2 linked regions of the Drosophila melanogaster genome follow. The protein of the gene in region 1 interacts with the protein of each later gene in a biochemical or structural test. Each region holds a gene or a part of one and is shown on either strand. Other genes may lie near its edges.

Region 1 (6,208 bases):
AAACAGATTACAGCTGTGAAATCGGTTAAGTAATGCAGACATAAATGCGGGTGAAGCAGAACTAAATCAGATTCCCGAGTGGAATATTCAATTTTTTCAGCTTGCGTGTCAATGAGTAGGCGCTTAAGGGATTGAGCACATAAAAAATACTTCATATGAAGTGTACCAGTTTAAATTTATCAAAACAAATAAAAAGATCTGATAACCAATTTAAAAACCCCTCTTTTGGGTATTAAAATAAATAAAGTTTTAGTTATTCAAATGCAACCTAAGAACTTGGCAAAGAAATTGTTCAAACTGGCATCTTTATGTTTTTACTTAATAGCTACCACATTTTTATCAACATTTCCAAATCACTTGTTGTCGGTGTCCCTTTTCTGTGGTTCCCACTGTAGCCGTATCTTAAGTGTTTGGTTCGCCTTTGTTTTCCCGACCGTCCAATCATCTGCTCCACTGTGCCGGGGTATCAGCGTGCTTTGTTTACATTTCAAATGGAAATCGCTCCGTTTTGTATCTCTGTCTGAGCTCCGATATCTCCTGCTGTGTGTCCGAGGGTATATTCCGTATCTGTCTGCAAAAGTGCATTTCAACCATTTTCGGTTTGTCCTAATGAGTCTCGTCCAATGCCCACACCCTTCGCACTCAAGCAGTCGTGTGTGTGGCGTACGCAAATATCGAGAACGACTTTTGCTGACCCTACCAAGGTATGTCCTTCCTTATCCTAGAACGTGGCCAAAGGACAATACGTGCGCTAAATATAGATATTTCCCGGCACGACCGATGTGCATCCACTTAACCCTTGAAAAAAAACAACAATTTTGGGAGCTGAAGGCAACAAGACCCAGTGTTAATGCATTTTCGAACATCCCAATGTATCTGGCATAAAATACGTTCTGATTTTCCAGAAAATTAACTCCACCATTTCCTGCGATTAATCTTAATCCAAATGACTATGTTTATAAAAATGCGACACTTGGATTGCTCTTACTATATTTAATAAGATATTTATTTCTAAACGTACCTTTCCAAAAACTGTCCAGCAAAATGAATTGTTCAAAAGTTGAAACTCCGTAGACGTTGGAATCCAAAATATTCTGAAGATTACGCAATTGATTAGTCCCAGCGAGTCCTGTTTATCGTTTGTTTGCTGACATTGATCGATTGATTGGGCTGTTGTTGTTGTTGTGGTTGTTCTGATAGCTCGATTATCGATTCGCACACACAGACTGGTGAATTGGAATTTTTTGATTCGCACCGATCGCTTGTCGTACTTAAACAAATTATAGACACTTACACGAGACAACACCGAAGAACACAAATTTGTTATATTTACTTTATACGCAGATTAATGCCAGCGGACGACGATGAATAATAGGATAACAGCAAGAACAACAACAACGATGCACGACGACGACGACGACAAATATTGTACATATGTACAGAGGATACAAGGACTCACGCACACAGATGCAGACGCAGATGCACGGGCGCGATAACGGTTATATCGGATATATGAATAGACGAAACGACGAACGGGGGGGCGGGGCGGTGCGGTGCAGGAGTCGAATTAACGCGACGGCGATTATCCCTTAACGGTACCGGTTCTTCATGCGATAAGTAGGCTACGGATGCGATTTCTGAGCATATTTTCTTGGTTTATTCTTTTTCTTTATTCAAATTTGCCTTATTCACTTTGTTTCTGGCTTAAATACTGTGGAAATGGGAGAAGGAAAACTGGATTAGATTTCAGTTTCCCAATCAAAAGTTATGGCCGCAGGAAGAGCTTATCTTGAACACAAATATCTGGCATGTAGGGCTTTTTGAATTAAAATTAATATTTGCTACGATATGAAACACGATTTGATGAAGAAATGATCAAGAAATATCAATTGAAACACTTTGTAATTCAACTTTTTTCCTGATAAATTTCTTATTATGACAACAGTACTTTAGTTTTCTTTTTTTGGTTGGCAACGCGCTGCGGAGAGATGCGAATGGGGGGCACAAGGCAGAGTCGAAAAACATTATGCGGGGGGTGCGTGAGTTTGAGGAAGAAGAATAAGAGAGTGCTGCTCTCTCCCACTCTTACTCTCACTCTCTCTGAGTCAATTTGAAACGCCGCGAGAATGAAATGCAGCGAAACGAATGGTGCACAAAACGTGGCCAGGAAAATAGAGAAATAAACAAAATATAAAAAGGATAATCCCAAAGAGAGAGGGAGGGTGGGTTAGCGAGAGCCAGGACCGTTTCATTCCCAAAACGTACCCAAAACAGAATACAAAAGCCTGGCTCTCCTTTCAACTCTCTCGCCCTCTTGCTCACACCCGCAGGATGGCGAAAAATCAATGAAAAATATGTGGAAAAATTGCCGAAATTGTATATTTTTGTGGATTCGCTCTGCTGCGGCCTAAACTTTGGGTGGAAACACAGTTTTCGTTATTTTCTTTTTCTAATGTGCCATAATATTCCAATTTTGTTGTGATTGCCAATTGCAATTGGGCAATTTTCGGCTTTATTATTGTTGCACACAAACACTCACACTAGCTCTCGATTGCACATGTTTCTAAATTGAGCAATTACCAATTTATTAATTAATGTACACAATGGACAAATCACTTTTCACAATTGCGCGACACAAAGGTAGCGGTGCTGGAATTTGTTTATCAACGCGAAAGAAACATTTATATCCTTGTCGAATATCCGGAAATTAACAAGAAAATATCTTGAAAAATAATATTTTACAAGAAACCAAATTTCGTTTTATGCAGCGTTTCTACCGGCGATTTATCCAATATTTTTGTTTATTTATTAATGCTGTTTTCAGATATTTTCCAACCGGAGCAACAACGCGCTGCAGCAGCGCGGGCGTTAAATTTTCGAATGAAAAGGGAACTCGCACGAAAGAGAGTTCAGTCTCAAATGGCACTTTCTCTGGCGCTAGGGCATTTTCCGCGCGTTAGTGCGTTTTCCAGCGCTGACTGCGAAGTCGCGAACGGTCACTTTTTCGGTTCTCTTTTTCTCTCTCCTCTCTTCTCTTAACAGCTGGTCAACAAACAATATGCAAATTAAAAAAAAAAACAATAAGGATAATTATTTTATTGACCTAAATATTAAACTAAGAGCGTGCTACTAAAAATTTATATAAAAATTGCAGGCCATAACACCATGTTATTTATATTACCGAATTTTATTGGAAAAAATGTTGTCTATGGCAAATTGAAAACATTAAAAAATATTAATAAATTTTTATCTAAAATTACTCAAACGATAAAATGCTTGAGCTCTTTTATTTGTTCACGCAAAATTGGAAAACACATACACGGTTAAGTTTCTTATTTCATAAACATATTAGTTTCTTGTGTCCTTTAGAAGGAACACGCTTAAAGAGAAATTTTAAAATGAGAGGCTCTCTTCAATAAGCCCTCTCCTCTCACTATTTCCTTTTCGTTGACTGAAACTCCCCCTCAATATAATCGGCCGCTTTAAACTCTTATTCTCCCTCGCGATACTTAAAATAATTAATTTAGTTATTCAAAAAAAATCAAGAATATTTTGAAAATTATGGAAAATACATAGTTTCAATTCAAATAGAAAATAGAAATAATGTTTGAAATTTCCGTCGTTCCGCTCTCAGTGGGCGCGGGTGAGACTGCGCCTGTCAAGGGCGTTTGTGTACGAATTTTGAATATCAACAATCTGAGGGCACGTGTAGAAAAAAATTTTTAAAAATTATATATTAGGAGAACACTTCTATAATCAGAAACCATATTTAGTCACCAAAAATAGTTCTTCTCGAATAATAAATACGTTTGGTACCTGGTACCTAATTGAAACCTGGCAGCTCTACACTCTTTTCCTATTAGGTTCTCTCTTAAAACGCGCTCTCTGTTTTGCCGGCCGTTTATATGTATTGCTTTATTTATAATTTACAATTTAACCAATTCACTTGGACACGCTTCTTATTCATATTTGTTTAATTCACAACTTAATAAATTATTAGGGCACTCTACGAAATATATTGTTTATGTTTTTATATGAGCACCTTGCAAATAAAACAACTAGAATGTTTTGTTGTACAAACAACACACACGCCAATACGAATGAAAACTGGTCGACTAGCGTTGCCATTGGGAATTTCTACAGCCAGTGCTACCATATTGGGTGGTAAGCTAAATGGGTCCGGCTTACAGTTACCCCTTAACAAAACTTATATACCCGTTGAAATGTGTTTCATTATATATCACTTCCAGGATGACCTAATTAAATATACATGTTTGACGTTTTTTTAAGCTATATGGTGCAATTTTTTATTTTAATTTGTTGGTCTGAAACATGTATTGCATTACTTAAATTTTGAAATTAAAAAATTAAAAAATTAAATTAATAAATTAAAACAATCAACAAAAAGTAATTTTTACATCTCTCCCCGACGGGGAATTGAACCCCGGTCTCCCGCGTGACAGGCGGGGATACTAACCACTATACTATCGAGGATGTTGTCTACCCACTGTCAAACAACCGTCTCGAGCTTGCACACTGTCTTCAGAGTACAAATGGGGAACAGATGAAATTGAAACAAGCATTCACACTCCGCAAACGGAAAACCCGAGTTTGACTCACTTTGTATAACATCCTCGATAGTATAGTGGTTAGTATCCCCGCCTGTCACGCGGGAGACCGGGGTTCAATTCCCCGTCGGGGAGATAAGTGCATTTTTTTTCAAGCTCGCATTTATTTCTTTTAAAATGGTACAAATAGATATCGTTTAGATTTTTATAAAGATTTATTAAGTAGGATCTTTAATCGCTGTTTTTTGTGGTAAAATACAATTTATTTTGTAATATCAATCATTAATTCAAAATGAAGTACATCTGAATACTGAGGAATTGTTTGGACAAGGTCATTGCTTAGAAGATAATACAGAAAACGCATAAGCAGGTACTAAAGGCTAATAAATTTAAAACATTAAAAACATGGACAAAGTGATTAACAAATAAATATGTATATCTGCAGTGCGACTAGTCAACCTGCTTGCCCTCGTCGCGATTTCGTTTGAAGGACACGGAATGAATAAGTAAGGGCGGTAGATTGCCACGCAGCATCTGGAGTCGTTTGCTCTTCTCCTTCTCTGGCCGTCGCAGTTCGTCCTTGGAGGACCCGGGCGAGGCAGAGGACGAGGCCATCGATGGCGACATGGAGGCCAGTGAACTGGCGCCGGGCAGCACCTCAGAGCTCTGGGTCAATAGCATGGCAGATCGACGGAAGTAGCGCGGCATGGAGTAATCATCCTGTGTGGCCCGAGCAGCATTCGCCGTTTGAATGGAATAGAGACTCTGCGATACCCGGTACTTCTCAATAGTGGGCGTGTCCTCGTAGTTCTTAGGCAGATTACTGAACGATATCGATGGCACCTCCGGCGTCATGCTGATCTGACTGCTTCCGGTCATCGTACCGCTAATGGAGAATATATCCGTCTCACTGGCCGACGAACGGACATTCATGTGCGGAACGCTCTTGGCGGATCGCAGGATCCGTTTGGGCGTGGTCGTCAGTCCACTGGGGTTGGCCAGCAGATGAGGATGCCGGTCGATGAGGCGAGGTCGCAGCACCACCTCCTCCATGATCTCCTCCTCCTCATCGGCCTTGTCGTCCTCCTTCTCCTCCTCGGCAATGGCCTCGAACTTTTTGGGAGTAAGTGTCGTTTGGCTACCCGACGGCGAGCATTCGGCCGAACTGGGAGCCAGGGTGAAGGTGATTCGCTTCTCGGTCGATCCTGTTCTCGCATCAGTGGCATCTCCTGCAAAAAGAAGATATACTCCGTTTAAAAAGTGTTCTGCATTTGCAAGTAACTAAACCCATATTATTTAGAGATATTGTCCTGATTTCATTGTACCCTAATTAGCCAGCTGCCAGAGAGGACAATATTATCTTTGGAAGAGTTGGAAAAGTAGATGCCATTGTAAGACGCATAAAAGGTTGGCAAACAAGATAACGGTTGAGTTCATGGCAGATAGGAAAGATATGTGCAGATAATAACTAGCCCTCGACTTTGGCTAAAATGGAAATTTTAGAGGCGGAACTTACTAGTTAAGTTTTATAGTAAATTTAATAGATTATTAGTCTTGCCTTCTTTTGACTTAATATTTCTGTACTCTTAAGATTTATAAATTTAATTTCATTTGACAACAAATACCCAAGCAATTGGGTA
Region 2 (6,412 bases), on another chromosome or scaffold:
TGTCAAGGCGTGTTCACAGCACTATGAACAGCTGACGTTAATATCAGTACCTTAATAGTTGCGGAGAAAGAGCGGTGGTTAAAGTTAAGATTTATATTTAAAAGAATATTAAGAATACGCGTTGCGCATGTTCCGAAAGAGATTTCTGTGCTAAAACAGTTCGATACTTAAAACGTTTAAGTTATTTTACATTACATTACATTAAATTGCATATTGAACGCAATTTAACGTTTTCTCATTCGGCATGTAACAATTAAAAGGACTCACGCGCGTTAAAAAGTTGAATACGCTAGCATAATTTAATTTAAATAATTATTCAGAGTTGCCAATTTTTGTCACTTCAGCAATTGACACCAATCACTTTGCGATTATTAGGCAACCCTTTAAAACTACACGAACAACAGCAAATCGATTTCTCAGTTGTGTTTTAATTGCGTATTTAAAACAATTTGGATCGGGCTATGAATGGAACTGATCTCTGATAAGGATGAAGAGACTTAAAGCGTACCTAAAGGATGGCATCAATGTGGCGGCGGTAATGTGTCTGGGCGATACTATATCCCAGTTCTTTTTTGATAAGAAATCGTTGGACGAATGGGATGCGGGGCGAACCCTCCGTTTCGGCATCGTTGGACTGGTGTTCGTTGGCCCAACTTTGCGCCGGTGGTACCATTTTTTGGAGTCCCGGGTTCCCAAAACCTACTCGCCAATGCGGCGGGGCGTTACCAAAATGCTGGTCGACCAGACCCTTTTTGCGCCACCCTTTACCATGGCCATGTCTTTTTTGGTGCCACTCTCCAACGGAGAGCCCATCGACCGAATCCGGCAGCGCATTCTTGATAGCTACCTATCTATATTGGTCCGCAACTATATGCTCTGGCCGGCCGCACAGATGCTAAACTTCAGATTCGTGCCGCTGGGCTACCAGGTGCTCTACGCCCAGTTCATCGCCCTCGTATGGAACTGCTACCTCTCCATGATACTTAATAGCTAGGGCACTAAGTTCCCCGCATAAGTAATACGGTGCCTGTGTATCAAATTTAACAAATACATTATTATCCTTATCTCGACATGTGACTTCGGACTGGATTTGGTTGTCGTTTTTTTAGGGGTATTCGGCGGAAAGGCTGTACATATAGAATGGAATTTATAGTATACATGTATTATAGGCACTCGAGTTTTAATCCTACAAAGCACTTCAAAAAATTTTGCTTGAAATCTTATTTCCCTCCGTTATTAGTCGGTTGGGCATGTGCTTCTCAAAATATTTACTCGATCATTTAAATTTGAATTGGATAAGCAAGATTGTATCATAACGACGTCACGCCCAATCTAACGCCCACAATTTCTGTGGGCGTTGTGTTGTTATTTTGTTTTCATTTAATTATCTGTCATGATATTGACATACCACAAAAATTTTGCCACACCCAAACTGTTATGCCCACTCTTAAGAATTATTTTTCGATTTTATTTTATAAATTCTCTTGGCTGTTTCTATCGATTTGCCAAACGTATTTTAGCCACGCCCACTGTTCCCACTATCTGAATAACGGGTAAACCTTTTATTTCTGACATTTTAAGGCAGATTGTGGGAGGTAGGGTTAAACAACAAACGTTCTGCAACAATCTTGAAAAATGTGGCGTCACTTGAATCTACATGCTCTGAGCTCTCTAGAGTTCATAGTTCCGAAAATATCAATTCTCCATAAGTTTGTTCCTTTCTACATTTCTATTTTACGATTTAGGGGAATAAACTTTTGAAAAGTGCGTCAACGGTATCTTCTGACAGTTTCCCACAAGTTGTTGATATCCTGTTGTTTAACGTGAGATAGACGATTTATGGATAGAATTTACCTTAGTAGCGCCAAAAATACCGCAAACTGCGCACGCACGAAGCTGAGAATGTAAGCAGCCAATAGTGGAATACACTTCATGTGTACATGTGCAAATAAACACCCTGCAATTCAATTCATTTAACTTTTATCTATATGTCATTTCTTAGAAAAAATCTCTATTGCTAATCAGCCCTCAAAACAGTGAAATTATTGATTATTTTTTTTTCTTACTAACTAACTAAGTCTCTAACTACATGGTCATAACAACAATGCTTTAAATCAGATGTGTAAATATGCACATCTGCAGTCGGTGTCAGTTGAAGATATTTCAATAGGTCATAAAATGTGCACAAAGGCCAACAAAAAAAAGTTGTGCCATGAAATTTTAAATAACAAAATTATGCTTTGATACAGTTTGCGCACATATTTGCTGTGGATTGAGGAGCTGTTAGCATGAAATTCTTAAGTCCAATTTTTCAATTTACATTTTCATTGTGAACAGACCTTTATAGTCTCATCACACTATCGATATTAAAGAAAACGAATATATTAAATATATTTATTTCATTTTTTAATAATGCTCAAGGAAATTAGAGAGATAATAAATATTATCTGGCTTGGGAATCAAACCCCTTCCAAATTACTTTCGTACGAGTCATTACACAGTAACAACAAGACATTTTCCATGTACTCGTGAACATTACATTTTGAAGTGTGCCATCGGTTAATTTAGGTATCGATAGTGATAGGTATGAACGGGTCTTAGGACTAACAACTAGTTGTTTAATTCTCTCCTCTGCCTTATAGTATCGATAACATTTACATACAATGATGTGTAAATTAAAGTGTGGTGTAATTCGAAAATAGACAGAAATTATGTTCAGTGACTTGCGATGTAAAGAAATAATAGTTAATGAGTGAAATATAGGAAAACAAACAGTAAGCCGGATTTCCGATTGTTCACTAGAAAACTATCGCCGTTCCATAATTCAGATATACATACAAAATTGTCATTTTTTGCTAAATATTAAAAAAAGTGTAATAAAATCATTTAACGTTCCAGTGTATATTGCATTGCTTTAGAATTATTAAGAAAATACAAATTTTCTTTAACTGGTATACAACGTTGTATGTATGTAAAAATTAAAAACGGCCATGCAATCATTTTGTTTTATGTACTTAAGTATATATTATATTTATGTAAATAGTATTTTTAAAAAGTGTGGCTCTTATTTAAATACATTGTTAGCTGCGTTTCACACATACGAAATTAAATGCATCATGCATTGGGAAAGATAGCAGCAAAATAAAATTTGCTGTATATGATGTGCATGTGTATGCATATAAATATATACATTTTGTATAGATGTGTGTGCACCAGAATATCCCAAAAATTCCAAATGCAAAAGATCGAGTTTTACTTCTCTCAATAATCTTTGCCTAAAAACATTTAAACTAAGTGCACTTACATTTTACCGGTTTATTATATGTATTTAAATTCGGGCGCTGGCCAAATTTGTATGTATGTATGTGCAGTATGCATATATGCATTTGCAATGAAATTACCAAATATTGTGCACGCTCGCCCAAATTTGAAATCCTGGAATAGCCGTGAATATACTTTAAAACTACATAAATTCTCTATAACGAAATGGCTTGGAATAAGTGGCCTGAGTGCGAATATATGTAAGTGGAAAAAAATTGAACGTTTGGAACTGAATTTGTTCAAAGTTTTACAATTAATGTGTTAGGTAGAGGAAATTTTTTATTGCAAAAACGAGATATGCTTATATAGCATACATAGGAAACTCCTTAGCTTGGGATTTCCATTCCATTAATATTTATAGCATGATATGGATTCATGTTTAATATATATGTACAGTTGCGGTCAACATATTAGCGGCAGTAGCGGAATATATTTTGGTCGGTTATAGTCCTATTCGGAGACAGTAAATGGTAGAGCACGTTGGTTCATGAATTATGCTTTGGGTGAGATTTTCATATTAAGGAGTTGAGCCAGTATATCTGAAGCTCCATCTTCAGTTCCGTCACCGGGTTCTTGCTTTGCCGAACCAAGCGCTTGGATGCTTGGAGAGCATCCAAGTTGGACATTGAAGGCTTTCCTCGCCGCGTTTCGTTCTTTTCGACAAACAGCAGTGATTTGCGGATCATTTTGTTTGAACAACCGACAATGCGACCAATTTCAGCGTAGGTTTTACCTTCAGAGATCACGTTTTTAATCAAATTTCTTTTTTCGACGGTACAATGCTTTCCGTGACCCATGACTAGAGAATTTTTGGTCTTCGTTTGGAGCAAATTCAATTAAAACCTTTAATGCAACACCTTTTTTTCAAAATTTGTCGTAAAAAAAACCAAAGCAATCACTCCCATTAATTTTATTCAGCAAATACGTTTTCAGTGCTATTTTTGTTACCGCCTCATTTCGCGCACTTTTGCAGCAAGTGCCCAAAAACAAAAAGAACCGTTAAATTGAGAGACTAAAAATTTATTGCTCAAAGAGGCAACATATGGTACTTATTATTCATGCAATCTGGCTTAAAAAAAAAAAAATTTATAATTTTTTTTAGGATATCAATTTTCCACCTGCAGTAGTGCTATTATTTTAACCTTAACTGTAGTTTCAAAACTATTTGTACGACATCATTTTAAACTATGCGATAAACTACCCATGTTTCAGGGAAGTACACTTACAGCCAACCCACAGTTTTTGTTTTGACGTGATTAAATTTTTAAACTGAGTTTTTTTGGCTGTGAAGATTTTCAAAATTACGATTTATTGGGTGTTCACGAAATACATTTATAATCTATATGTAACAGCATTTCAATGTTTGGTGATCCACACAAATAGAATTCGAAAGAATACTATAGTCGAGTTCCCCGACTCAGATACCCGTAACTCAGCTAGTGTGAATGCGAACGCGAAATTGCTTTATTTTTCTGGGATATCAATATTAAGGAATAAAATGAGAAAAAATTTAAAATTTGTTTTAAAATGTGAGCGTGGCAGTTTTGCGCGGTTTTAGGGCGTTAGAGTGGGCGTGGCAACATAGGTTAACAAACTTTCGCTCCGTATTTGTCTTTAGAATCTGTATGCTGAATCTCAACCTTTTAGCTGATATATACAGCTGTGTTCATAAAAATAGCAGTGCTTGGGACTTGCGAGTTTAGGATAAAAAATCATATGATTTAAAGTTGTAATGGGAATTTTTTTCATAATTTTATTATTATATCAAACAATTCAACATATGTTTCACTTTTATTTTTTCAATAGATATAGATTAAAACAACATAATAGGCAGAAATTCTGGTGTTCACTGAAATAGCAGTGATATGAAAAAATAGTAACAACATGACTTAGAACTAACATAGTTTTTTTTTAATGTGTTAATTAGGGACTAATACCTGGTTGGATTGCCTTTTTTAGCCAGCACAGCCTTACACCTACTCGGCATGGAGTCCACGAGGACGTTTGGGGGAATTTTTGCCCATGCATCCTGCACAACTTGCCAAAGCTGAATCTTGGACATCGGGGAATTCTTCGACACGTATTGTTTAATGTCCCCCCACAGGTTTTCAATCGGGTTTAAATCGGATGATGGTGCTTGCCACGGCATTGCATCTATTCTATTTTGGGTGAACTTATTCTTAGCCGATTTGCTTCTGCGTTTCGGATCATTATCCTATTGGAATGTCCATTATAAGGGCATATTCCATTCAGCATATGGCAGTAAAACATCACTAGGTATATTTACATACCATTAATCATATGTATGGGACCCACACCGTTGTATGAAAAACAGGCCCATACCATATTTATGTCCACCGTGCTTAACATTCTTGAGTGTGTGGCTTGGGTTGTACTCGGTCTTTGGAGGTCGTTGGACATACTGTCGTGAACCAGTTCCAGTTCATATTTTTGACTCATCAGTCCAAAGGATATTAAGCCATTTGGAGACTGGACAGTTTCTGTAGGTTTTAGCGAAGTTTAACCTTGCGTTCATTCGTACATGGCCAGATCGACTCGGCTATTGATCCTGATCAAGAATATATTTTCTTTATATGGTCGGAAACGCCTACTTCTGCCAGTTAAATAATTATCAACGAATCTAGTATACCCTTTACTCTACGAGTAACGGGTATATATATATATATATATATATATATATATATATATAACTACTTTCCTTATTGTTTTTTCAGGTTTACATGATGGTCATACAAGTTATTGCTCCAAGTTAAATTATCTTGAATGGAACGGATAATAAAAATTGCAAGAATGACACCAACGCAAAGGAAATTTTAATATTTACGTAAAATTTCAAATAAATAAGGGACATACAAGCGCCTACAAGTAACAATTTCATAAATAAGGTAGCTTTGATAGTCCTGTTTAAGGAGCGATTGTGGAGATGAATTTTGTTCTTAGTGTGTTGTTAATAGCAATTCTTAAAGATAAGTATGATTACTGGCTGCCATCGAGGACAGGTTGTCAAACCCTGGCAGCAAATATATGGTCTGACAAGACGACTGCGCAAAATGAGCCGATAAATTTGACT

What was found. The genes of interacting proteins can lie anywhere in the genome.
Region 2: the proteins of Sema1a (region 1) and PlexA form a complex in vitro, tested with the Drosophila melanogaster proteins (2 studies listed by BioGRID).

What each region holds. Positions count from the first base shown.
Region 1 is NT_033779.5:8,540,047-8,546,254, reverse strand, and holds the start of Sema1a (semaphorin 1a), read right to left. Parts: upstream 4,109-6,208; 5' UTR 4,043-4,108; intron 3,043-4,042; exon of another isoform or gene 2,540-3,042; intron 1,712-2,539; 5' UTR 1,022-1,711; intron 1-1,021. Other genes in the region: CG17834 (uncharacterized protein), read right to left, coding at 5,019-5,797. UniProt on the Drosophila melanogaster protein: Involved in growth cone guidance through its role in axonal repulsion. Function in neurons is essential for adult survival, motor neuron survival, and is important for climbing behavior and activity.
Region 2 is NC_004353.4:1,023,325-1,029,736, reverse strand, and holds the start of PlexA (plexin A), read left to right. Parts: upstream 1-2,635; 5' UTR 2,636-2,774; exon of another isoform or gene 2,775-2,967; intron 2,968-3,201; exon of another isoform or gene 3,202-3,521; intron 3,522-6,056; 5' UTR 6,057-6,265; coding exon 6,266-6,412. Other genes in the region: mitochondrial inner membrane protein MPV17, read left to right, coding at 488-994.